7 linked regions of the Canis lupus familiaris genome follow. The protein of the gene in region 1 purifies or fractionates together with the protein of each later gene. This does not show direct contact. Links are inferred from orthologs where the notes say so. Each region holds a gene or a part of one and is shown in the gene's direction. Other genes may lie near its edges.

Region 1 (3,500 bases):
AAAATATTTCTCATTACAGACTTCTTTTGCTATTGAAAATTTCAAGCTATCTTCTTTTTCACAAGTGGTTGGGAATTTGTGGGATGGATTGAAGGAAATTTAGCCCATTTTGTACTATTTTTGAAAAATGTATTTGTGAGTTCTTTTATCTACTAAAATCCTATGGAATTTCTAGGGATTTTTGGATAAACTTCATAATGAAATTAGTAGAACTCTGGAAAAGATCGGCAGCCGAGAAAAGTACATCAACAACCAGCTTGAGCATTTGGTTCAAGAATATCGTGCAGCCCAAGCCCAACTGAGTGAGGTAACTTAGGAATGATATTCAGGGATTTATTTCAGTTAATGACCTTAATTCCCAAACTTGACACAGCACTTTTCATTTGAGAATCATGAAATGCTTCTCCCAAACAGCAACACATGGATACTCTGCCCACTTTAGGAAGCCACGTGAGGCAGTAGAACTTGTCATCTCCATGTTACATGCAATAGAAATTATCTCCTAGAAGTCTTTAAATGCATTTCTTCTTTTGATTTAAATAAATGAAGACATGTATTGTTGGGGAACATTGCTTAGAACAGGAACAGAGTGTCAGGACACCTGGTTTTGTTTCTTAGTCTGCCGTTAATTTACCCTGTGAGTAGGAGGAAAAAGAATAGTATGCATTTACATGTGTCAGAGGGAAAAGACATCATTGCCTTAATGGCTTACAGCCACATAATAAAGAATATGAAAGCAAGACACGTTCAGAGACAAGCAGTTTAATTAATTTAATGAGCAAATTTTTTAATCCTTTCAAGGTTTTAGAATTTCAACCAAAAAAATAAAACCTTCAGCCTTTGGAAGCAGTGGTTCTTTGTACCCCAGTAGGGATCTAAAGGCTTTCCTTGGGAGTTATGCCCCCTCTTTCCTGATGTTGAGGAAGGCTAGTAAGAACACTTAGAAATGCTAGTTGAAGAGTTTTTTATTTTTCTTTCAGTAAATAAGGTTAGAAGAAGGGAAAAAATGGAAATCAACTTAAGATACTTCTGTACTTTCAGAAGTTCTCAAAGACCAAACAGAAAACAATCTTCACTGTTTTATTATGTTATTTATTTAACAAATTATTCCCTCATATACATATATACTCATGGATGTTTTTACTTTCAAAATGCTGTAAAAAGTCTGATTAAAACCACTGTCAAACACTGATACTAAATAATTGTTAGATTAGTTCCCAAGAACATATTCCGTACTGTCATACCATTTGTTAATCCTTATTAATTGCTCATCCTGATGCTCTGTTATGATTGATTTTTTGAACTGGTTTTCTCTGCATAGCATGCAAATTACATCGACCAAGAGCTGCTCTCCTAAACTGTGTAGGAATAGCTGAGGACAGTTTTTATTGTGAACCATGCCCGTGTGAGTTACACAGTCAGTATATGAAGGTTAAGGTAGTTTATCATTTTATAGTGCCTTAGTTTAAATACATCGCGCCTATTAGGGACATAAAAAAGCTACAGTTAAATGTCACTTTCACAAATGTATTCACAAATGGGGGGGGCTGTCATAAAATGATATGCAGAAATCGCAAACACAAAGAGGTCACATTTAAGTAATCTGCTTCTGTTGTGAATTTGTCATTAAACAAAATGTTTTCTCCCTTAGGCACGGGAGCGATACCAGCAGGGTAATGGCGGAGTAACGGAAAGGACCAAGCTCCTGTCTGAGGTGCACACCACGCTCTCGCCCTCTCCTCACCCTCAGCTGCACCCTGGCCCCAGCCATGCAGAGTCATTGTGGTTTAATACTGCTCCAACCGGGCGCTCTTTATTTCAGCAACTGCTTCCCGTGGCTCTGAGTCCTTTTCTTTAGGAGAAAATCCCTAGTTTTCTTATCAATGAATCAATTATGTATTTATATACTTCTTATTCCCATAAAATGCCTGAAGTTGTTTTATTAAATTCAACATAGAACCTGTTGATAATATTAGCACATTTATAACCTTCCTTAATCTTTTTAAAAGCAGAGTAGTCATGATTAATACATAGAAGAGTAGGTAAAGCACTGGCTTAAATGTCTTATAATTAATTTTAATGTTAGTCTGTAAGATATAAGATCTGTTTTTAGTGATTGCTGCTGATGTATGTGATCCTAAGTATTTCTGTCTACAAACTGGAAGTGGCTATCCTTCTGAGAACTTCTGAAATATTTGCATATATTGTTGCATTGATTTTCATCATCACACAAAGGGGTACAATCTAATATATATTCCAATTTTTTACTGAAGGGCCGGGAGAAAAAAAATTCTTACAAGGTCAATAGCCAATGTACAAGAGTGTCTTTGGTTATAATCCAGTGTAATTGTCACAGACATTTTCAATATAATAGAATTAAGCTTCTTTTATAGAGATTATTTGAGGCATAAATAGTTATTTTAGAATACTAAAAGTGTAACTTTAGAAATATTTAGACTCTAATCCTGTGGTGCTTCTAGGCAAATAGAACATTATGTAGAAGTAAAGTGCTCACTTACGTTAGGTAAATTAACACTTGAAGGGAGTCCAGGGACCCATTTAGTTCTTTTGGAGGAGGTAGTTATCCCCAGTTGTAACATTGCAGGTGCCTAAAAAAAAATTAATTTGCTTTACTTGGATGAGCACTTTATTCCCAAGGAAGTTTTTACTCACCAGTATGATAAAAATAAAGCCTAGTAAGTTACAATAATTATGGCTTAGTTCTAGGTCATATAATTTTTTAAAAAAACTTTTAAAGCTAATATTCTAGGTTGGAATTTTACTAATAGAGGCTATAGTAGTATAATTTTGAATATGACGTAGAATACAGCTAAGAGCCAATATGACAGCACAATATGCCTCTTGGAGTTCACGGTTTGGATAGAGCAGTTGGAATATTTTTATATACAGCCATATGGTATAAACGTTATTTTTAGCATCCTATACAGGAAAAGATGGCATCTTCTCTTATAAAACTATAATATTAAGAAAGATACCTACTAAGCCTTAGAAATCCAAAATCTTCTCAGAATGTATATACTGTTTTAATTAATAACTCATTATTAAAGACTGGCAAGGTTGGGATGCCTGGATGGCTCAGTCCATTGAGTGTCTGACTTGATTTCAGCTCAGGTCATGATCTTAAGGTTGTGAGACAGAGCTCCAAGTCAGGCGTGGAGATTCTCTCACTCTCCCTCTGCCCCTCTCTATCCCACCCCACCTCCCTGCTCTCTTTTTCTCTCTAAAAAGAAAAAAAAAAAAAAGGATTGGCATGGTAGATGCTAGGAGATAACTACAAGGTTTGCATGTCTGATGCCTAAAACAACAACTTAGATCAGTTTTTATTGTCATGTGACAACCTGAAAACATCATTTGGTGAAGTTTAATGTTAGGAGCACTCTCAGAAGATAAAAAGCTTTGTCTCTCTGTCTCTTTTATTATTCAAATTATGTCCAGAACACTCCTAATATGTTTATGTCCCTTTATGGATGTATTAGATC
Region 2 (2,912 bases), on another chromosome or scaffold:
CCTGAGTTTGCTTTGTGGCAGGATGATTGGGAACAGTCACTCTTTTTGTTTTTTTGTTTTGTTTTTTTTGTATAGAGTCTTTAAAAAAAATTTATTAGAGCTCACAATTGGACGGGAGGGGCAGAGGGAGAGGGAGAAACAGACTCCCTGGCTGAGCAGGGAGCCCCATGTGGGGCTTGATCCCAGGACCGTGAGATCATGACCTGAGCCGAAGGCAGACGCTTCACCAACTGAGCCACCCAGGCCCCCCTATTCTTTCCGAAGAATGTTCTAGATTTTTCCTGGCAGGTAACACAGCACTGAAAGGCCTCATGCCTTGAACACATGAGTCAGGGGGCATCCATGGGGAAGCCCTGGAAGCTGGATGAGCTTCTCCCAGAGGAAGGTGGGGCACCTGTAGGGCTGCGCAGAGGCGGCGGCCCTTGGTGGCTGCACTGTTCCCCTCCCTGCCGTCCCAGGGTTCTCTGCAAAATGTGAGGTGAGGACTTGAATATTCAGCTCCTCTGTGTAATTGCATGTTGGACTCTGGGCTGTGGGGTGGTGAAATATGTTTTTCACAGGTGTGAGGTCCTCATCCCTTTCCATCATTATCAGAGTATGTTTGTATTTTGACCCTTTGTCTTTGGATGCTGTGAATACCTTACTTTTGTCTTCCTTCGTTGTTTTAACGAGGAAGCAAAGCTAAGCCGAGACCCGATACTCACGAGCCCCTGTGTTTCCCATCAGCATCACGGACTGCGCGGTGGAGCCCTTGAAGGCCGAGCTGGCTGAGCTGGAGCAGCTGATTAAGGACCAGCAGGACAAGATCTGCGCCGTGAAGGCCAACGTCCTGAAGAACGAGGAGAAGATTCAGAGGATGGTGTACAGCATCAATCTGAGTTCGAGAAGGTGAAAGCTCAGACGTTTCAAAAGCTGGAAATCTTCCTCAGTCTGACAATAAAAAGGAAGATAGAATGCCAGTACTCTTTTAAGTGCAGTTTCCTAAGAAAATGAAGTTTTCAGCGTCGTCCATCCAATGTGCGGTCTCAAAGCTCCGCACTTGAGACCACAGGCACGCCCATGTGTAGAGGGGCCGTGCGTCCGCACCTTCCTCCAGTGGGGTATCGCCGTGCAGACGCGTGCTCTGCGTGTGTGCAGCGGCCTGTCCTGCTCAGTCCTGCGCCAGGATCCTCCAGCAGGTGAGTGGTGGTGGCGTGCCAGGGGACCGGCGGCCTTCCTTTCAGGTCTTAGGTCTGGTGACCGGACCCTGCGTGGAGCAGGTGAAGGATGACTGCTCCTGATGGGCACTGCAAGTCGAATGGGGCCTGAAAATGAGTCCGCTCCATTTTGAGTTTGCTTCCCCTTGGAGAGGGTTCACTTCAGGCTGTATCTCTATAAAGTACACGTGAGTTTCTTTGGCAGTTTCTCCTCAGCCCCTACGGCCTCTGGCTTCTGTGTCCTGCCTTAAAGTTCATTCATTTAAGGAGATTTTAGTATGTCCTTCGTGGACATTTGCCCCCAGGGTGTTCCCCAGGTAGGGAGCAGTGACTCCGGGGGGCTCGCACTCGCCTGCGCCCGCGGCCTTGGCATCCTGCCTGGTCCTCCCCTAGACGTGTGATCCTAAGAGGCGAGTAGCTCGGGGCAGACAGCTGAAGGGAGGCTTCAGGGGACGCACTGATTTGCAACATTTTTTTTGATGTTACCATTTTTTTGGAAATTGTTTTTTAAAGCAAGGGTTTTTTTTAGAACATGGTTTATATTTAGTTTTTCACTCACATATGGTGTTGTAAATACTTAGGAAAGTCTTAAGTTTGTATATAAAGGATTCCAGTGTTTGGAGACATACAGGTCGTAAGGTCTGGGTCCCGATACTGTTATTTCTAGATATTTATTGTGCAAACCACACGGTGCCATTTAAATGTTAGAATTGCCTGAGAAAGTTCTGCTTCTTTAAGGATTAGCACAGATGGCACAGGTTAGGTTTCCTTACTGTGATTTCCAGAATAAATCCTTTTCTAAGGTGGTTATATGATTTCCCAAGCTGAGTAAGTTCCAGATCAGCTTAAGCTCTGCCGTTCTGACACGTTGGCCACTTTGTCATTTCTACCGTGCACCATAAAATTGTTTGATCAGATCGCACTGAATGCATTATTGGAGGTGGGAGGGGTGTCAGTTCATGAGTCCCCCATATACCTGTCTCTTTTCTTCTGAGTTGAACAACTTAGCCACAACCCTCAATTGACCGTTTTGCTTCAAGATGTGTCTGCCTTTTATGAATTTGTACATACGAATAGAATTGTTGTGTTGCAAAAAAAAAACTGCATACATTTTATGTGAGTAGAATTTTGTATGAAAGTTTATCAAATTGTATCATAAAATTTATTTTTATTTTATACATAAATCATTAAAAACAATCACATATTTTTTCTATAAGTGTATGGATTGTGCGATTCAGTTCACAGCTGGAAAAACATAAGCATTTGGATTTTTTTATCTTCGAACGCATATATTTTTGTTTTTCTTGTGAAGAAAGTTCAGGGAAATTGATCTTTTCATTCATATCGTGACACTTCTCACTCTAATGTATAAGTTGAAGTTTTATAAGACAGGTAAGCATTTGTCAGAAATTTAAGGTCATTCACGAAGTTACAGACCCTCTCCCTGTGTGATTATTACGGTATCGTATCAGAGACGCGTTAAATGCTGATGTTACTTGTTGCTTTGAGAAAATACACAAAGGGGATTAGTAAGCCCTTTCCTCTACTTTGGCTTGGACATTTCCAGGAGGGCTGAAGTCACACTGCAGGAATTTTAATTTAAAAGTTGAACTGATGTTCATTTACATTCAAAGAAAATGTGTCAACCTTTGGGAAAAACATTCAGGACTAAAATGTGAGCTTTCTGGCCTGATATTCATGCTTATTTTTCTTTTC
Region 3 (4,215 bases), on another chromosome or scaffold:
TGCTTGGAAAGCCTTTCCGTAGCCTCCTCACTTGATACGTTCTTGCTGATATTTCATTCCTTTTTGTGTTTTCTGCTATAAAGCGATGGAACGGACCTTGGTTCTAGTGCAGGCCAGCATGCCATAGCCTGTGGCATACATTGTGGGTAATGTTCTTATTCCTGGCTTATTTTTTAACTCTGATTTTTAATTCACGCAGATTTCCTCTTTTACTTGCTTTTGGTGTTATGCTAGTACTGTGCTGGAAAAGATCTTTCACGTCTTTTTGGGTACATAATTGGGGATAAATATGCTTATGGCTTCTCAGAATTTAGTTCAAATGTTACTCCCTCACCTTGTTAACTGTTCTGTTCTCCTGCAACAGTGATATTTCTGTAAAAGCACTTAACACAGTATACTTTCTCAGTTTCCATGTCTGTCTTCCTCCAGCTAAACTATGTACTCCTCCCGGGCGGGCACCATGTTGCGCTCATCTTTGTACCCCCAGCATCTAGCAGTGTTGGCATGTAGTAGGCACTCAAGAAATGTGTGTTGAATGAACGATGCCAGTGACAAGCCACCTGGACTTTATTCTTTCCTGACCCTTGCTCCTATGACACTTCCTCCTGGCTGCCACTATCACAGAGCTTCTCTTCTCTAGGGAAGCCGGAAGGGAAACAGGTGAGGCTCAGAGAGATGGAGGCAGAGGGAAGGGGAGCCTTTGGAGGAAAATCTGGGTTTTTGGCACTGGTGTCTGGGAGTGGGAGTGGGCCTGGGCTGGATGCAGGCATTTCCTAGGGTGGCTGGGAAGTGATCAGGGACTGAGGCTGGTTTCTTCACAGCTATGGCCAAGGACATCCTGGGTGAAGCAGGGCTGCACTTTGATGAACTGAACAAGCTGCGCGTGTTGGACCCTGAGGTCACCCAGCAGACCATAGAGCTCAAGGAGGAGTGCAAGGACTTTGTGGACAGTGAGTGTCACTCAGGGAGACATGGTGCCACTTGGCTCGGAGCTGTTCTGGCTGGCCCCACCCCCACTCGCAGTTCTTGTCTCTGCCAGAATGGAGCTAGTGGCTCCCTGGAAGTTGTGTCAGGCCTTTGTGAATTCCCAGAAACCAATCGCCTTGTCTCCTTGCTAATGTTCTCATGTAGTCAGACACAGAGCACCAATGAAAACCAATGGTGAAATGGAGAGAGGGTATCTCATCCTTGATTTTTTTGCTTGAACTTCATGGGGGGCAGAACTGTGGCTGGCTTGGGGTGGGGAAATAGTTATGTACTCATGATTGGATTGGATTTCTTGGAGGCTCAACAGACTCAACGAAGTCATTTTTTTTGGTTGATATCCAGGCAAGCAAGCCCAGTGGCAGTGAATACAGAGCAGCTCTAGCTGAAGCAGGGATTTCTGTTGTTGGTTGAAGAGCAGGGATTTCTGAGCCTTCTGGGCACTCCATAGTCTGTAGAGAGCTCGACTGGTGAAAGGCAGCATGAGCTCCACTGCCAGTTTTCTCACTGCGTATTGTCCTTTCTTCCTGGGTCCTAGTTCAGGATCTCAGTAGAATGAGATCCCACCACACCCAAGGACATTGAAAAAAGCAAATGGGAGATTAGGCACTTAAATGCTTTGAGTTATTAGCTCTGGTCACAGTTGGCAACCCTCCCCCCACCCCCTCCAACTACCATGAACTGAAATCTAGTGCTTTATCTGTGGCTAGGCAAGAGGCTCTCTTCATGTCCTCAGTCAGTCCTATTGTGAACATGGCCCTTTGTGCTTCCCATCACTCCTGGGAAAGCGGGATGGAGTCTATGCAGAGGATGGGCCCATCAGGAGCCTCCTACCTGAGGTTAACAGTCACTGGCTGGCTCAGTTGGGACTCAAGGTCCAAGTACACCCTGGTCGAGTCCTGGGTACCTGAGCACCCTTCTCTGGATTTAGATCAAGGGCAGAAGACTTTAGGCCAACAGGCACCAAACTGTTTTGACACAAGTTAGAAGGGGCAGTTAGCCCTGCCCTCTTGCCACAGGGGAACACATGGAGAAAATAAAACATTTTATTTTCTGTTCTTTCCTTAAAAGAAATTGGCCAGTTTCAGAAAATAGTTGGTGGTTTAATTGAGCTTGTTGACCAACTTGCAAAAGAAGCAGAAAATGAAAAGATGAAGGTAAGATCAGCATGTCTTCTAAATCTTGGCCTGGGACATGGTTCACTGGCTTCTCCTCCTACCATCTTGACTTTTTCTTGGAGGTGGGGTGGGGGCTGTGGGATTTTTATTTATTTATAACAGGATTTTAAGTAACAAGTCCAGTTACCCTCTTATTGAACTCTTACATGCTAGTACACTTTGTTATTCTTTTCTTTAATCTTCACAACACTGAGATAGTTGGTTTTATGCTTATTTTGTAAGTTGAAGCAATGAAGGCATACGTGGTACCGAGGACTTGGCAAAGGACACAAGGCAAAATGGCACACCAAATGGGCCACTGACCACTTGTGTGCCAGACTCAGGGATACTTGTAGACATGCCCCGGAGACTGCAGCCTGGGTCTTATCAGGCACTTTGGGATCAGTCATTCCTCCTCATTCCCGAAGCTCTGGGGCTTGACTGTCTTGCTGGCTGGGGGCTGAGATAGTCAAGTGGCCCTTCCTTGGCCGAGGACTTAATGCTGAAGATGATATTAATGAAGCCATGACCTTTGATAATACTGTTTTTCTAGGCCATTGGTGCTCGGAACTTGCTCAAATCTATAGCAAAACAAAGAGAAGCCCAACAGCAGCAACTCCAAGCACTAATAGCAGAAAAGAAAATGCAGCTTGAAAGGTAAGAAGTTATGATGTATAAAGCAAGTTCTTTACTCAACTGCAATTCTACTTTTCCTTCATGATTGGTCACCTCTTACCTTTCATCATTGTCCTCCCAGAATAGTATCTCATTTGTCATCCTGATTTGAAGATTTAAAAAATAAAATTACATTTGATGAGAATAGAAAATTTGTTAGTAAAAAACCACCTCTACTAGTTTGAGAGCTTGAAAGCTCAGGTAGCAATTGTCTGTGGAGTTGGCTGGTTCTCTGAAAGGAAAGAACCTCTTGGGCAGGGCTGGAGACTTCTTAAGGGTGGCCCTAGGTTGGGCTTTGCCTCTTTGTTCTTCTTTTTTTTTTTTTCCTTTGTTCTTTCTTATCCTAACATCACTGTGAACTCACACCATGTCTTGACATTGTTCAAATCAGTTATATTTTTCTGTAGAATTAAATCCATGGTTGATTTCATCCATTCTTAGGGCTTCTCACAATTTTGTTTTTCAGGTATCGGGTTGAATATGAAGCTTTGTGTAAAGTAGAAGCAGAACAAAATGAATTTATTGACCAATTTATTTTTCAGAAATGAACTGAAAGTTTCATTTTATAGCAGGAGGGCAAAAAAACAAAACAAAACCCAAAAAACCTCTGTGCCGTTCCAGTGACTTGACTAATGACCCACGTTTGTCCTGAGAGATGGTGTGTAAGGAACACAGCATCTCTGAAGGCAGTAAACCAATATGGGGGAGCTTATTGCAGATGGCCATGTGCATCTGCTGGTGAACACCTAGTAGCCATGGTGGTCCAGGCTCTCGCTTCTTGGCATTCTTAGCCTGAACTGAGCAGTCTGTACACTCTGATCCTTTTTTCTTTTTCTTCTTTTTTTGTAAATTCACATAGCTTTGGAAAGGAAGAGCAATAAATTATTGTTTTCAAATGGCTTGATCTATCTCTTTTCCTGGTGCCCTTGAAGTGTATATTTAACACCTTGAAAGAATCCTGCATGTTAGCCCCTTAATAGTCCATAAAACAAACCAGGCAGTGGTCAGCAGGTACCTTTATTTGGACCAGACATATGAGTCAGATGATACTCCCAACAATCAGACCAGTATGGCTTGTGAGCAAAACAGACAAAAAAGGGCAACCAAACAGGACCAGTTACTATTTTCCATGTGTGTTCACAAGTGTTTGATTTTTTGAGTTGGCCGTGAGTATAAATTTAAAGAAAGCTAAGGAACACCAATGAAGTGGTGTTCCAAGCCACTTGGTGAACAAGCTAGGAAGGATGATGAAAGTATAAGGAAGGGTGAAGTGATCCAATAGGAAGCGCACTTCCACATCAGGTTTGAGACACCAGACCTCAGAGTGAAGGGACTTATGTCAGGTGGTCTGTAAAAACAAGACTAAGGTTTGGAAAGAGGATGAATTAGGAGATTTAAA
Region 4 (3,500 bases), on another chromosome or scaffold:
CCCTTCCCCTCACTCAAGGGTGCATGCTGATGCACTCTCTCCTATTCTGTAAATAAATAAATCTTTTTTAAAAAGCAAATAAAGTAGTCCCATTTTGTGACTAGTATGCTGTTTTATTTTTTTATTATTATTTTTTTAAGATTTTATTTATTTATTCATGAGAGACACACACAGAGAGGTAGAGACATAGAGAAGCAGGTTCCATGCAGGGAGCCCGAAGTGGGACTTGATCCCAGGACTCCAGGGTCACACCCTGAGCCAAAGGCAGACGCTCAACTGCTGAGCCATCCAGGCGTCCCTAGTATGCTATTTTAACATTTTATGCACAAAGTATTTAGGCATTTGTCTGTGGCATATAAAGCCCCTCTGCCTTTAGATTAGAGATTTTGCAAAGCATAGCTTTGAAGAACCAAAGTAAAAGTGAGCAGTTTCCTAAACTGACCTTCTAATTTTGTACATTCACCCTAAATTTTTCTAGTCTCCATCATGCTGTGGCCAATGTTCAAGACTCATTTATCTAATTCAGTGTGCAACCAGAATCAGCAGAAAGGATCTATTTTTGAATGATCTTAAAATTGACCATCAGGTATTCTTAAAAAGCTCCTTTCCCTAACAAGGATAGCTTTGGCAGATTTTGAATTAAGAAAGAACATTCTCTGGGCAGCCCCAGTGGGCTTTAGTGCCACCTTCAGCCTAGGGCGTGATCCTGGAGACCCGGCATCGAGTCCCACGTCAGGCTCCCTGCATGGAGCCTGCTTCTCCCTCTGCCTGTGTCTCTGCCTCTCTCTCTCTCTCTCTCTGTCTGTCATAAATAAATAAATAAATAATTTTTTTTTTATAATAAATCTTAAAAAAAAAAAAAGAAAGAAAGAACACTTTGGGGCACTTGAGTAGCTCAGTTGGTTAAGCATCTGACCCTTGATTTTGGCTTGGGTCAGCAGGGTGTGAAATCTAAACACTCCCCCAACCCGCCTGCATTGGGGTCACACTGGGTGTGGAGCCTGCTTAAGATTCTCTCTCCCCCTCTCCCTACCCTTACCTCCTTTCTCTAAAAAAAACAAAAAACAAAAAATAAGAAACCCACACCACTATGAGATTCTTATCAATGTATACCAATAAAGCATAGTCACTAAATAAATTGCGCAACTTTGTGTCATTTGTCACACACATATTACGGATTAGTTAAAATATATCCTAATCCATGTATAATAAATCCGTTATGCTTAAAAGAACACATGACCAGAAGCATTTTTGATGTATTGTATTGTCACAATTTTTTTAATATGCCAATGGTTGCTTTACTGTAAGAGAAACGTTAAATAATTTTTAAACCTAGAACCAAACATCTCTTAACCTCAGTATAAGCCATATGGCAGGGCACCTGGGTGACTCAGTAAATTAAGTGTCTGCCTTTGCCTTTGGTCATGATCTCAGGGTCCTGGGACTGAGCCCCACATTGGGCTCCCTGTTCCACAGAAAGTCTGCTTCTTCCTCTCCCTCTGCCCCTCCTCCTGGCTTGTGCTCTCTTTTCTCAAATAAATAAATAAAATTTAAAAAATATATTTTATTTATTTATTCATGAGAGACACAGAGAGAGGCAGAGACACAGGCAGAGGGAGAAGCAGGCTCCATGCACGAAGCCTGATGTGAGACTCAGTCCCAGGACTCTGGGATCATGCCCCAAGCCAAAGGCAGACGCTCAACTGCTGACATCCAGGCATCCCATAAATAAAAATCTTAAAAAAGAAAAAGCCATATGGCATATGGAAACCAAGCTTTCAAAAACCTACTTTTATTTTTTAAGTTATTTATTTGTTTGTTTATTTTTAAGTAAGCTCTGTGCCCAACAAGGGGTTTAAATTCACAACCCTAAAAAATAAATAAATGAATGAATGAATGAATGAATAAATGAATAGATAAATAAATAAATAAATAAATAAATAAATAAATAAATGGATTCACAACCCTGAGATCAAGAGTCACATGCCCTACCAACTTAGCCAGTCAGGGGCTCCTCAAAACCTACTTTTAAAGGGTGCCAATTGGTTATCCTTCAGGTCGTGAGGGCATACCATAGGCTGCAGGCCACAGAGGCAAGGACATGGACCCCATCCCAATGCCCCTGCAAGTCCCCAAACCAGACTCCACCTCGTACACTTGAGAGGAGAGGATGATACTTAAAGAACCAGAAGCTCAGAAAGGTAGATTTTAATGCCAAGAGCGGGAGAGTCTCTTATCTTTAGATATAACATGTCATTGCATTTAACTTTCGAAGAAGGGAAGGGAAGTATGAGTAGGTCAGGTTCCTACCGAGGAGAAGTGTGACTGAATGGAAGAAGACCCACAGTCTGGAACTGCTGGTCGTAATTCAGGCACAGGGTTAATTATGAACCTTCTTCAGATAGTTAGAAGCAACTTATGCTGGGCCATCTTGCAGATTAAATGCTAGATTTCCTGTGATCCTTATGAGTATGAAGATTCCTTAAATTTGTCTTCCAACTTCATGGTCCCCCATTTCCTTCCAAAATAACTCATCACAGTTACCTTCTGCTTCTTTAAAAGCCCCTAACTTTTGGAGTTGAAGCTGAATAGATAAGTTTATGCATAGTTTTGAGGGTCTCCTAAGTAACAGACAAAATAGATAATTATTAGATAAAGTTTATACAGAAGCCTCAAGGAGAAAAATAGAATATGGTTGTAGAAAGTGAGGACCCAGTTTGTAGCTAGGCAGGAGTAAATGAAAGTCCTTGGGGCCTTTCTGGGGAGCGCCACCTTCTCTTTCTGGTGAATTGGTGCCAGGCGGGAGGGTGTCTGTGGGAGCAGTAGGAGGGCTCGGGGCATGGGTACACTAAGCTGCTTTTTATGTGGTGCCTTCTCTGCCTGCCCTGCCCCATCTCAGGAGAAGAAAAAGACCTCACAGCTGACACCTCAACGAGGCTTCAGTGAAAATGATGATGATGATGACGACTCATCTGAGACAGAATCTGATGAAGATGATGATGATGAAGAGCATGGGGCCCCTCTGGAAGGGTGAGGAAAGCCCCCTAGCTGAGGATCCCCCAAGCCAGGGAGGAATACACTGGCCTGGGAAGAGATGAGTTGGGAGTGAAATTCTAGCATCTCTCTTGATCTCCCCTACTTAGTAGGATTTTCAGATGTCTCAGAAACCAACAATGAATTTTCCTCCTTTTTGGGCTGCACTGCTTCACTGAGTCCTGTGATGTCATTTGCATCATCTGAAACATTTTTGGGTTTGGGGGGTTCATGAGGATTTGCTGAGTAAATCTAAAAGATGGTCCCTGCCTTCAAGGAGCTCTCATTCTGGGAAACGGAAAATAAAATGTATGTACATCCCTAAGCAATTCTATTTAGCAAGGAAAACATATCTGCACAGGACCATTTCTGCTTTAGGCTCAGCTCCTTTTTGGAGGGGTGGAGAATAAGGACTTCAGGAGCCCCACATGGAGGCAGATGTTCCTGGGTGATGCTTCAGTAAAAAA
Region 5 (2,540 bases), on another chromosome or scaffold:
TTAAAATTTTGAATGTTTTTTTTTCTTATCCTTTAAAAACGTGTATAATTGTTTTGAATATGGGTACTGTTTAACATTTCTATTTTGTGATTTTAGCTTACAAATTTGGAGAGGAAGTGGCAACACCATGAGCAAAATAATTTTGTGATGAAAGAATGTATCCTTTAAAAAGAAACAAATGACTGAGTGATTTTTGTTTTTTAAAAATGTATTCACTTATTTGAGAGAGAGAGAGAGAGAGAGAGAGATCTGTCAGGGGGCATGGTAGGTAGAGGGAGAGAGCATCTCAAGGAACCTGAGATCACAGCCTGAGCCCAAACCAAGAGTCTGACACCCAACTGACTGAGCCACACAGGCACCCAGAGTGATTTTTTTCCTAAGAATGTTTTAAAGACGGAAATGAAATGAAATTTAATATACACTTATCAAATACCTAATATGTACAAAACCTCAATCTAAACTATGTGGGGAATAAATGAATGAGACTTCGTTTCCAATCTACAATAATTAGGGTGTGTTTGTGTGTGTGTACGCGCGCACATGTTCTGTGTACATGCACACTCACAACCAAAGTAACAATAGAAAGCAGACTATACAAAGTTAGTGTGGCATAGTGACTGAGTGCACAGGTTTTGGAGCAAGGAGATCTAATTTTCAGTGTTGACTCTACTACTTGTAGTTTATGGACTTTGGACAATTTATTATTGTTAAAGTTTGTTTAAGCCTCAACTTTATCATCTCAAATATACTTAATATTTCTTTCTCATAGAGTTATTGGGAGAATTATGTATACCTACAGAAATATGTATGTGCATAATTGTTTGCTGTTGCTTATAGTGCTGTACCTTGGATATCTGGGCAGCAAAGGGAAGTAAACACATTAGTATCTTGAGAAATTTGACCTTCAAGCTCATCTGTTTCAGCCAATTCAACTTCACGTTTTTACCAAGATGGCACTTATATCCCACCTTCTTGCTTTATCTTTTTGTGTGATTATATAGGAGGAAGCACCTATTTGAGGACATATGTTTTGAAATTGTAAGAAACACTTCTTTGAAAGTTATTTTCTGTTCCTTTCTTTGACCCTTTAAGGATATCTCTGCTTGGAGAAGTAGTTCCTGACTCATTGGTAGTTTAGATTCTCCTCCAGGAAACTGCTGAACTTCAGCTCAGGGCAGCATGGATCCCAGCTTACTTCCAGATCAAATGCATCAGGTGCTCTATTCCTAGCAGTTGTTGCTACTCATTTTAAAAGCAAAAGACTCTCACTCAGTATGCTTTAGTCCAGCAGTCTAGTTTATGCAACACAAAGTAGGGGATTTTGAAATAGAGTGAATTCTAGAGACTTCTGTAATTCATTGCAGTACTCTAGAGAACATGGTTCTTCTGAACATTCAGTTGTTCTCAGACCAGAATTAGATTGAAATGCACAACATTAAGTATAAAAAGCTATTATGGGTGCATTGGTAGCTCAGTCAGTTAAGTGTCTAACTCTGTTTTGGCTCAGGTCATACTGTAGGTGAACTTTTTTTGAAACACATTTTCCTTAGCCTTTTAGATTTCAGTTGATCTTAATCTGTTAATATATTTTTTTAAATATATTCTAATTGTTCTTTTTCTGGCCATTTTCAGTTTTCCATAAGAAAAATACCAGTATGATTTGGTCCCTTCCTAAGCCAAAGTGGATTACTGTTTTTGTTGATCACTGTTCCCCCTTAACTCATGTAATTAGTCATAGCAACCAAGAGTCAAGAGAGTGATTACCAGTCAATTATGAAGAATGTGACCAAGCAGATTGCAGAATACAATAAAAGCATTGTGGACGCTCTACATAGCATGAGCAGAAACTGAGTCTGAACCAACTGCAAGTCTCTATAATAGTATGCTTTCTGCTAAACTGTATGTTGACTGAAAAAGAATCTCATACCCTTGAAGAGTTTTACCTAAAATTTTTAACTACTATAATTTTTGTGACCTCTTTGAAGAGGTATACTACTTTAAACAGCATAATAGTTCAATAAAAAGTTTGCATACAGAAAAGCATTTTTTTGTATTTTTTTTGTGTGAGTGATAAAAATGTCTCAGACAACCAAGAGATAAACTAAAAGTGGCCGTTGAGATTGATTTAGTTGGTATAATCCACCTATGGCAGCAAATGAGATCATTTTTTAAATGTGTCAACTCTAGAAGGGATATACGGAGTGAGATTCTGACTTAGCACTTACATCAATCTTGTCAAGTTTTGCTTCTAGAAAAAGAAAGAATGGAAGGCAGATGTTTAGTTTTGAGGTTTATTTCTCAAATAGGGTATATTTGATGTATTCTAAGGAATATAAAGTTGCAGGTAAGTATATTAACTCATATTCTTTGCATATCAGTTATCCCTAAAGATTCAGAATTAAAAACTTTGACCTTTGTATTTTACAAATATTTTCTTACGTGTATATGCTAGGAAAAACATGAAGTTTAAAAGAAATGCTGCACCTATGGTAGTCTGTTTTAGACAATGGCTGTTGCTGTTCATTGTCACTCTGGAGTAT
Region 6 (3,500 bases), on another chromosome or scaffold:
GTATAACATTTTATGGATATATCAGAATTTATTTAACCTGTGCCCAAATGATGGACATTTAAGGTATTATTGTGACACCTTCAAAAAATAAATCCTAGCAAGTCTAAAAAAAAAAGTCCTAGCAAGTCTTAAGATAGTAGGCAGTAAATAGCATTTCAACTCTTTGATTGAGTTGAAATGAATCCACACTAAACCATTTCCAAGTTATAAGGAAATTCATTTTACAAGCTATTGTAATAGTATAATAGATTAATGCAGTATGCCAGAAATGCTTTGTTATATAGACAGAACACTAATCTTAAGTTAGAGACCTGGACTTTAAATTTTAGATGTGCTTGTTACCAGCTTTTTCTGAGCAAAAATCACTTAATGTCTATGCAGCTCAGTCTTCTTGTCAATAAAGCAAGTATAGTAATACCGATAACACAAGATAGTTTGCTATTTCATAGGAATTGAATCTGAAAAGAATGTATAAAATTTAAGACTCTAAAAACATAAGGTATTTTCATAAATCTGCCTGATGATTCTCTCCCTCTGCTCCCTCTCCCACTGGTACACAGACTCTCTCTCATATAAGTAACTAAATCTTAAAAAAAAAAAAAAGGAATGTTTCCTAGCTTATGAAGTTTCAAAAAGATATACATTTTAGTGTTTTACGGGGCATCTTTCCCTTGTAAATTAAAAAAAAGGTAACTGTACTTTAGCTTTTGAATTATATCAGTAGTTAACAGAGACATTTTATCATTCTAAGTAGGGGGTGATATTTAATTGATCTTTAAATAAACAAATATTCTTGTAATTAAATAACTTAAGTGATCTGATGTCAAGCACTAAAATTAATGCAGTATTTTCATTTTTCTAAATTTTAGAATGAAATCTTGGAAATTGCTCTGGATCAAAAGGGACTTACCAATGATAGAAAAATTGCGTTCATTGATAAAAATAGAGATCTCTATATCACTTCAGTGAAACGATTTGGGAAGGAAGAACAGATTATCAAACTTGGTAAAAAAATTATAATACATTTAAAATTTGATTACTTTGAATTTTCTTAGATCTACTCTGTCATATATTATACTAAATAGCATACTTGCTTGAATTAATCTGCGAATCATGCTTCGGTCTCATAACTTTTCTTAACTATTTAACACCACTTAAATAGCAAGTCTTTAGCTGCTATAACCACATTAGCATTGAAAGACTTAGAAATTAAAACATAATGGCTCCAGGTCAAATACTCAAATATTTCCATATATTTTTAAATGAGTTTTTGTACATGTTTTCACCATTATACAATCAGAAAACAGAGGCACACCTACCAGAATTTAGAAGGGGTCTTGTATGTTGATTATTAAAATATTTTTAATGCTTATTATAGTGGAACTAATAATACATTAACATTCTTTTTAAAATAAGGAACAATGGTGCATACTTTGGCATGGAGTGATACATGTAATATCCTTTGTGGACTTCAAGATACTCGATTTACAGTGTGGTATTATCCTAATACAGTTTATGTGGACAGAGACATTTTGCCTAAAACATTATACGAAAGGGATGCAAGGTAACATTTTACTGTTGGAATTGTTTATTGTAATAAATGACTCTAAAGTGTCATGTTTTTGCCTCTGATTTTAATCCTGCAAGGTACCTTTCACTCTACTCAGTCAACGAAATTGTTCAGCTAAAGCTAGCTTAATGAGATTAGATTTAAGTGTTGGGGTCAAATTGAAAGTGTCGTATAATACTACTATATTTATTCCTTCTATGGACATAATTTTCCTTATATGAATATAATTTTAAGCCTAATGTTATTTAATGAAACTCAGGTAGCTTTTTTTCAGTGTGGTTTAGTGATTTTAATATGGACATTTTTTAGATTTTTTTCAGTGATATACAATGTGTGTCAACCTTTATTCTTTCTCGAATTATCATAAATTACTAATTACTATACTTATAGGACTGTATAGGTCTCTAGAATTGAATTTTTAAAGTAATATTAAAGATTAAAAATATGTGGTAACTGAAGAGTTTAATTTTACATGCTTTAGAAAATACATGTATATCCCTAAGTTCTCTAAGAAATAACAAGATCTCTCAATCTTGACAAAATAAGAATGCAAAGCTTCTTAACTCCAAACCTTATCTTAACTTTCAAATCTATTTTGAGTTCACTTTAATATTCATAACTCTTGTAAGACCAGAGAGGCATCATTTTTTAAAAAGATTTATTTATTTATTTATGAGAGACACACAGAGAGGCAGAGATACAGGCAGAGGGAGAAGCAGGCCTCCCACAAGGAGCCCAATGCAGGACTTGATTCCAGATCCCGGTATCACGCGCTGAGCTGAAGGTAGATGCTTAACCACTGAGCCACCCAGGTATCCCAAAAGGCATCATTTTAGAAGTATTTAAATTAATAAAGAGAAGTTAGTCTCTTAAAGTTCACCTCTTTTTTTTATGATAGGCACACAGTGAGAGAGAGAGAGGCAGAGACACAGGCAGAGGGAGAAGCAGGCTCCATGCACCGGGAGCCTGATGTGGGATTCGATCCCGGGTCTCCAGGATCGCGCCCTGGGCCAAAGGCAGGCGCCAAACCGCTGCGCCACCCAGGGATCCCAAGTTCACCTCTTTTTATTATGAGAAAATAGTCTTGTAATCATCTTAATTTTTTACTGGTTTATACTTTCAAAAGCTAATGCTAAATTTTTTTTTCTTTAAAGATTATATTTATTTATTCATGAGAGACAGAGAGAGAGAGAGAGAGAGAGAGAGAGAGAGAGAACAGGGACACGGGCAGAGGGAGAAGCAGGCTCCATGCAGGGAGCCTGATGTGGGACTCGATCCTGGGTCTTCAGGATCAGGCCCTGGACTGAAGGCGGCGCTAAACCGCTGAGACACCCAGGCTGCCCCTGAGTTTTTTAATCATTTGTGTAATTTACCTTAAGACTTAGGTGAAAAAGATTATTTCAAATGCTTTTAGGCATAGCTCTCAAGTATGTGTTAATTTTTGTCACATTAAACTCCAAGCATATAGCAGATTAGATTTGAATGTTTATTTAAATATATACTTTCTCCCTGGAGTTAACTTTTTTGGGGGTCAATTTTGGACACTTGGAGACTTTATATCTGTGTCAAGGGTCAACTCCCCAAATTTAGTACATATGAAAGATTTTGCTCAGAGCATAAATTATACTTTGCTTTTTTTCAACAGTGAATTTAGTAAAAATCCCCATATTGTAAGTTTTGTCGGAAATCAAGTAACTATAAGAAGAGCTGATGGCTCGCTGGTTCACATCAGCATATCACCATATCCTGCTATTCTCCATGAATATGTAAGCGGTTCAAAATGGGAAGATGCTGTAAGACTTTGTCGCTTTGTGAAGGTACTTTACATTTCAGATCCATAGTTGTGTATATATTGAGTATTAGTTGACACATATCTTTGTGCAAGATAAGAAATGGTAACAACTAAGGGCTGGAAAAATTGCAAATGAAA
Region 7 (4,000 bases), on another chromosome or scaffold:
TGAGGGATTGGAATTCCCCTGTCAAAAGACTTATACTTTGGGTTCTGGGGCTACTTGTTTCCTGTATAAATAGGGGCTTTCCTCTACTCTTCCCTAAATACCAAGGGGCTGGGGGGGATGGTGCCAGTGAGAGAAATATCTATTGACATTTGCAACCACGGTGGGGGAAAGGCTTCAGAACCCAGAATCTGCTTGGACAGCATATGCTACCCTTTCTGGAGAAGTATAGGTCTTCTCAGCTTCAGATTTTTCCAGAGGAGGTATAAGAATAATTCTCCTAACTCGCCTTTTCTGCATCTCAGGCTCTGGTATGTTACAAGAATTTAGAACAATAATTCTGAAAGGGACCCCAGATCCCTTTCAGAATTATTGATCTATACAGATCAAGAAGTCAATATCCTTTTTACTTAACCAAGCTCCAACCCCAGTTATCACAGGACTTAATCTTAGGCAATCGGGCGAGCCAAGCTCCGGTTTGCCCTCTGCCTTGAACCACAAAAGCATCCCGATCTGGGCAGCAGTCTTTAATCCACTGCTACCTAATTGTATAGTAGCACCTCTCATTGGCCACTGGTTTCAAAACACTCATCTCTCAGACTCTGGACACATCGTTTCTTGGGATGGAAGTAGCACAGAGTATAAGAAGCATGGCATGGAGACAGGGAGCTAGGAGTTCAGAACGAATACACAGGGTGTTTAAAAGCACCAGCTCAGGCTTGAATCCCAGTTATAGCCTTTACTATTAGTTTGGGTAAGTGGCCCCTCTAATCCTGAGACTCCTGGTATGTAAAATGGGACTAATAATGCCAACCCCTTCAAAAGGCAGCTTTGAGATTGAATGAGATGATGCACAGTACCTGGCAGGCGCATACTGAGTATTCAGTTAGCAATCATTATTAGCCAGCCTTGCGATCCCCTGCGAGTCATATAACCTATTTGGGTTCAATTCCATCCGCTGCAAAACGTATGGAAGCAACTACCCTGATTTCCTCCGAGGTAGTGAAGATCAAAATAATGCATTCAGCCACACTTACTCGCAACACAGCGCGAGAAACACCGCGATTACGTAGGACCTCGAGGTGGCCTAGGACTCGTGGGCGTGGCTTGAGCTTGGGTTTGCAGGCAACGCCGGGATTGGCTCGTTAAGGAGAGGATTCCATCCCTCTCGTTGTCCCGCCCTAGGCCTCACTGCGCCTGCGCACGTTCTGTTTGCATCGCCGCGAACCTACGTGGTGACCTTGCGAAGTGTGTTGCGCCCCGCTCGCATCTGCGTCAGCGGCAGTCGCTGCGGCTGCGTGGCGGGTTGTCCAGGTAACCACGGGAGTTGTCGCTGACTGGTGGCAGCTGAGAGGCAGGTGTTCGTCATGCAGTTGAAGCACCTGCGGACCCTGCTGAGCCCTCAGGTGAGGAGTTGCGTGCCTCTTCCCTTCCCCGCCCGCCTTAACGTTGCAAAGAAAAGGGGGAACTGAAATGTCACGATGTTGAGCGCCTACTGTATGCGGAAGACTGAAGGCTCTAAGGATGATTCGACTCTGCTCGATAGTGTGCAGTAGGCGAGACGGGCCTCTTAGCCTCGGTAGCTTTCATGCCCGTTCATTTAACTTCAGTTGTGGACGAGGAGGCCCCGTGGTGGGCGCGCTTGTAAACTACGAGCCTAAGTCTGCACCCAAAGAAACGAGGGCTCTAGGTGCAAGCCCCAGAGGAAGGGGTGCAGAAGACCTCACGTTCATTCTGATGATGAAGATTTCAGATTCAGAAGAGGCGGGGCCCTGGGGGAGGAACCATGCTAAAGAAAGGCTGCGTTTTGGAGCTGGGAGACCAGAATCCAAGTCCCAGGGCCAGCTCTACTTTAAATAAATGACCCAATACCGCTGACTTTGGCCCTCGTCACACAAAGTCTCTGAGTGGAAAACGGGAGTAACAATAATTAGCAACCTGAGGGGGATTTGGAGGAAGAGTTAAAGGAAGTAATGTACACAAAGGCCATTGCAAACTTAAAAGCAGTATTAAAACTGATAGACAAGAGAGGAGAGCAAAATTCAAAGGACAAAATCATACAAAGCTAGTGAAAATATCTGTCACAAGTGAATGTTTAATAGGTAGCAGGGCAGCATTAGTTGTTAAGATTGTGGTTTGTGGAATCAGACATACGTGGACTTAAATCTTGGTTCTGCCACTTCTAAACTGTGTATGTAAACCTGAGCAGATTACTTAACCTTTCTGAACCTCAAGTTTCTGGTTGTAAGATGTACCCAAAAATGGCATCTGTCTCAGCGTTATGAGGTAAAAGGAGAGTGCATATTAAGCACTTATCAAAGTGCCTAGCCTGTGGTAAGATCTTGTTAAAGATTAGCTTTCATTATTCTGTTCCCTACCTCATGTAATCCTTACGACTGCTGTGAGGAATCAGGAAGGCTTCACAGAAGATGTGGCATTAGAACAGAGGGAAATGGGGATCCCTGGGTGGCACAACGGTTTGGCGCCTGCCGTTGGCCCAGGGCGCGATCCTGGGGACCCGGGATCGAATCCCACGTCGGGCTCCCGGTGCATGGAGCCTGCTTCTCCCTCTGCCTATGTCTCTGCCTCTCTCTCTCTCTCTCTCTCTCTCTCTGTGTGTGACTATCATAAATAAACTGAAACTTAAAAAAAAAAAAAAAAGAACAGAGGGAAATGAGAAGAAAAGAGAAGTGTACTCATTGGCTCAGTAAACTGCCCCTGAAAATGTAATTTAAAGATTTCTTTACCCTAATGGAATTATTGAAAATGAAAACCTCCTTCAGTCTTTGAAAATAGGATGTCATGATGCAGGGAAGGGCGAATGCCCAGAGTTGGCAAAATGATGAAGGAAGATGAACAATGGTTATTGAGGAGCCCTTCAAACCTAATTTAATCAAGAGTTGGAGGGTGGTGAAGGTGGTGGTGTGGCTATATTCTGACTCTGAGAATTTTGATAAAGAAAGCATTTTTTTTTTAAATCTCTGACTTCACAGGTAAGTGGATTAGGAGTGAAAATTAACAAAGTTTGAAACCAGAGCTCTAGAGCCCAAGTAATTAATCATGCAATTGGAGCAGAAGCTAAATGTTTAATTTCAAGGAGGGAAATCCTTAGTGCAGAACCATTAAGTGAGGACCAGGGCTGGTGGCAGACAGATGTGGCAAAAATAATTCACTGGGAGATGGTCACTTCTAAATTGGGCTTCTGTGCAGTGCATAGTCCTTGGGCGGGGGAGGGGGGATCCAAAAAAACTAACCGGGCGGCATATTCATCCTAAGTCTCAACTCTAATTGTCTTACTCCCTATTCTGGAACTTTCACTGTCTCTCCCTTTCCCACGAAATAAGCCCAAACTCCTTGGCCAAATTTCAAAGATCTTTCTTGAGCTGGACTCACTGTCTTTCCTGCCTTACCTCCTCTGTTCTATTTGCAAGGTAGTTGCAGCTAAATTAAATTATTATTTCTTTTTTTTTTTTTTTAATTTTTTTTTTTAATTATTATTTCTTGACCAGACTTGCCTTTGCTCATATCATTCCTTCTACCTCAGATAATTCCTCTCACTTAACTGCATCCATTCTTCAAAGCTTAAAGTTGATCATTTATTTTTTTCAAGATTTTATTTATTCATGAGAGAGACAGAAAGAGAGGCAGAGACACTGGCAGAGGAAGGAGAAGCAGGCTCCATGCAAGGAGCCCAATGTGGGACTTGATCTCGGGAATCTGGGATCATGCCCTGAGCTGAAGGCAGATGCTTAACCACTGAGCCACCCAGGTGTCCCAAAGTTGATCATTTATTTTATTTTTTTTTAATTTTTATTTACTTATGATAGGCACACAGAGAGAGAGGCAGAGACACAGGCAGAGGGAGAAGCAGGCTCCATGCACCGGGAGCCCGATGTGGGATTCGATCCCGAATCTCCAGGATCGCGCCCTGGGCCAAAGGCAGGCGCTAAACCGCTGCGCCACCCAGGGATCCCCCAAAGTTGATCATTTAAACATAAAATTA

The links.
Region 2: the proteins of IFT57 (region 1) and TRAF3IP1 purify together in Homo sapiens (affinity purification with mass spectrometry; 3 studies listed by BioGRID and IntAct, counting the BioPlex papers as one, with this or other methods). This does not show direct contact. The link is inferred for Canis lupus familiaris from reciprocal best matches to the Homo sapiens genes IFT57 and TRAF3IP1.
Region 3: the proteins of IFT57 (region 1) and IFT20 purify together in Homo sapiens (affinity purification with mass spectrometry; 3 studies listed by BioGRID and IntAct, counting the BioPlex papers as one, with this or other methods). This does not show direct contact. The link is inferred for Canis lupus familiaris from reciprocal best matches to the Homo sapiens genes IFT57 and IFT20.
Region 4: the proteins of IFT57 (region 1) and IFT46 purify together in Homo sapiens (affinity purification with mass spectrometry; 3 studies listed by BioGRID and IntAct, counting the BioPlex papers as one, with this or other methods). This does not show direct contact. The link is inferred for Canis lupus familiaris from reciprocal best matches to the Homo sapiens genes IFT57 and IFT46.
Region 5: the proteins of IFT57 (region 1) and IFT74 purify together in Homo sapiens (affinity purification with mass spectrometry; 3 studies listed by BioGRID and IntAct, counting the BioPlex papers as one, with this or other methods). This does not show direct contact. The link is inferred for Canis lupus familiaris from reciprocal best matches to the Homo sapiens genes IFT57 and IFT74.
Region 6: the proteins of IFT57 (region 1) and IFT80 purify together in Homo sapiens (affinity purification with mass spectrometry; 3 studies listed by BioGRID and IntAct, counting the BioPlex papers as one, with this or other methods). This does not show direct contact. The link is inferred for Canis lupus familiaris from reciprocal best matches to the Homo sapiens genes IFT57 and IFT80.
Region 7: the proteins of IFT57 (region 1) and IFT172 purify together in Homo sapiens (affinity purification with mass spectrometry; 3 studies listed by BioGRID and IntAct, counting the BioPlex papers as one, with this or other methods). This does not show direct contact. The link is inferred for Canis lupus familiaris from reciprocal best matches to the Homo sapiens genes IFT57 and IFT172.

The regions. Positions count from the first base shown.
Region 1 is NC_049254.1:13,948,606-13,952,105, reverse strand, and holds part of IFT57 (intraflagellar transport protein 57 homolog), read left to right. Parts: intron 1-175; coding exon 176-307; intron 308-1,651; coding exon 1,652-1,714; intron 1,715-2,519; exon of another isoform or gene 2,520-2,609; intron 2,610-3,500. UniProt on the Homo sapiens protein: Required for the formation of cilia. Plays an indirect role in sonic hedgehog signaling, cilia being required for all activity of the hedgehog pathway.
Region 2 is NC_049246.1:49,114,781-49,117,692, forward strand, and holds the end of TRAF3IP1 (TRAF3-interacting protein 1), read left to right. Parts: intron 1-726; coding exon 727-892; 3' UTR 893-2,412; downstream 2,413-2,912.
Region 3 is NC_049230.1:42,552,294-42,556,508, reverse strand, and holds the end of IFT20 (intraflagellar transport protein 20 homolog), read left to right. Parts: intron 1-429; exon of another isoform or gene 430-624; 5' UTR 625-660; intron 661-821; 5' UTR 822-823; coding exon 824-950; intron 951-2,055; coding exon 2,056-2,141; intron 2,142-2,694; coding exon 2,695-2,798; intron 2,799-3,282; coding exon 3,283-3,364; 3' UTR 3,365-3,715; downstream 3,716-4,215. UniProt on the Homo sapiens protein: Part of intraflagellar transport (IFT) particles involved in ciliary process assembly. May play a role in the trafficking of ciliary membrane proteins from the Golgi complex to the cilium.
Region 4 is NC_049226.1:15,210,234-15,213,733, forward strand, and holds part of IFT46 (intraflagellar transport protein 46 homolog), read left to right. Parts: intron 1-2,899; coding exon 2,900-3,030; intron 3,031-3,500. UniProt on the Homo sapiens protein: Forms part of a complex involved in intraflagellar transport (IFT), the bi-directional movement of particles required for the assembly, maintenance and functioning of primary cilia. May play a role in chondrocyte maturation and skeletogenesis.
Region 5 is NC_049232.1:45,480,058-45,482,597, forward strand, and holds the end of IFT74 (intraflagellar transport protein 74 homolog), read left to right. Parts: intron 1-96; coding exon 97-157; intron 158-1,732; coding exon 1,733-1,851; 3' UTR 1,852-2,040; downstream 2,041-2,540. UniProt on the Homo sapiens protein: Component of the intraflagellar transport (IFT) complex B: together with IFT81, forms a tubulin-binding module that specifically mediates transport of tubulin within the cilium. Binds beta-tubulin via its basic region. Required for ciliogenesis.
Region 6 is NC_049255.1:26,534,619-26,538,118, reverse strand, and holds part of IFT80 (intraflagellar transport protein 80 homolog), read left to right. Parts: intron 1-869; coding exon 870-1,005; intron 1,006-1,416; coding exon 1,417-1,564; intron 1,565-3,215; coding exon 3,216-3,387; intron 3,388-3,500.
Region 7 is NC_049238.1:21,489,865-21,493,864, reverse strand, and holds the start of IFT172 (intraflagellar transport protein 172 homolog), read left to right. Parts: upstream 1-1,200; 5' UTR 1,201-1,364; coding exon 1,365-1,403; intron 1,404-4,000. UniProt on the Homo sapiens protein: Required for the maintenance and formation of cilia. Plays an indirect role in hedgehog (Hh) signaling, cilia being required for all activity of the hedgehog pathway.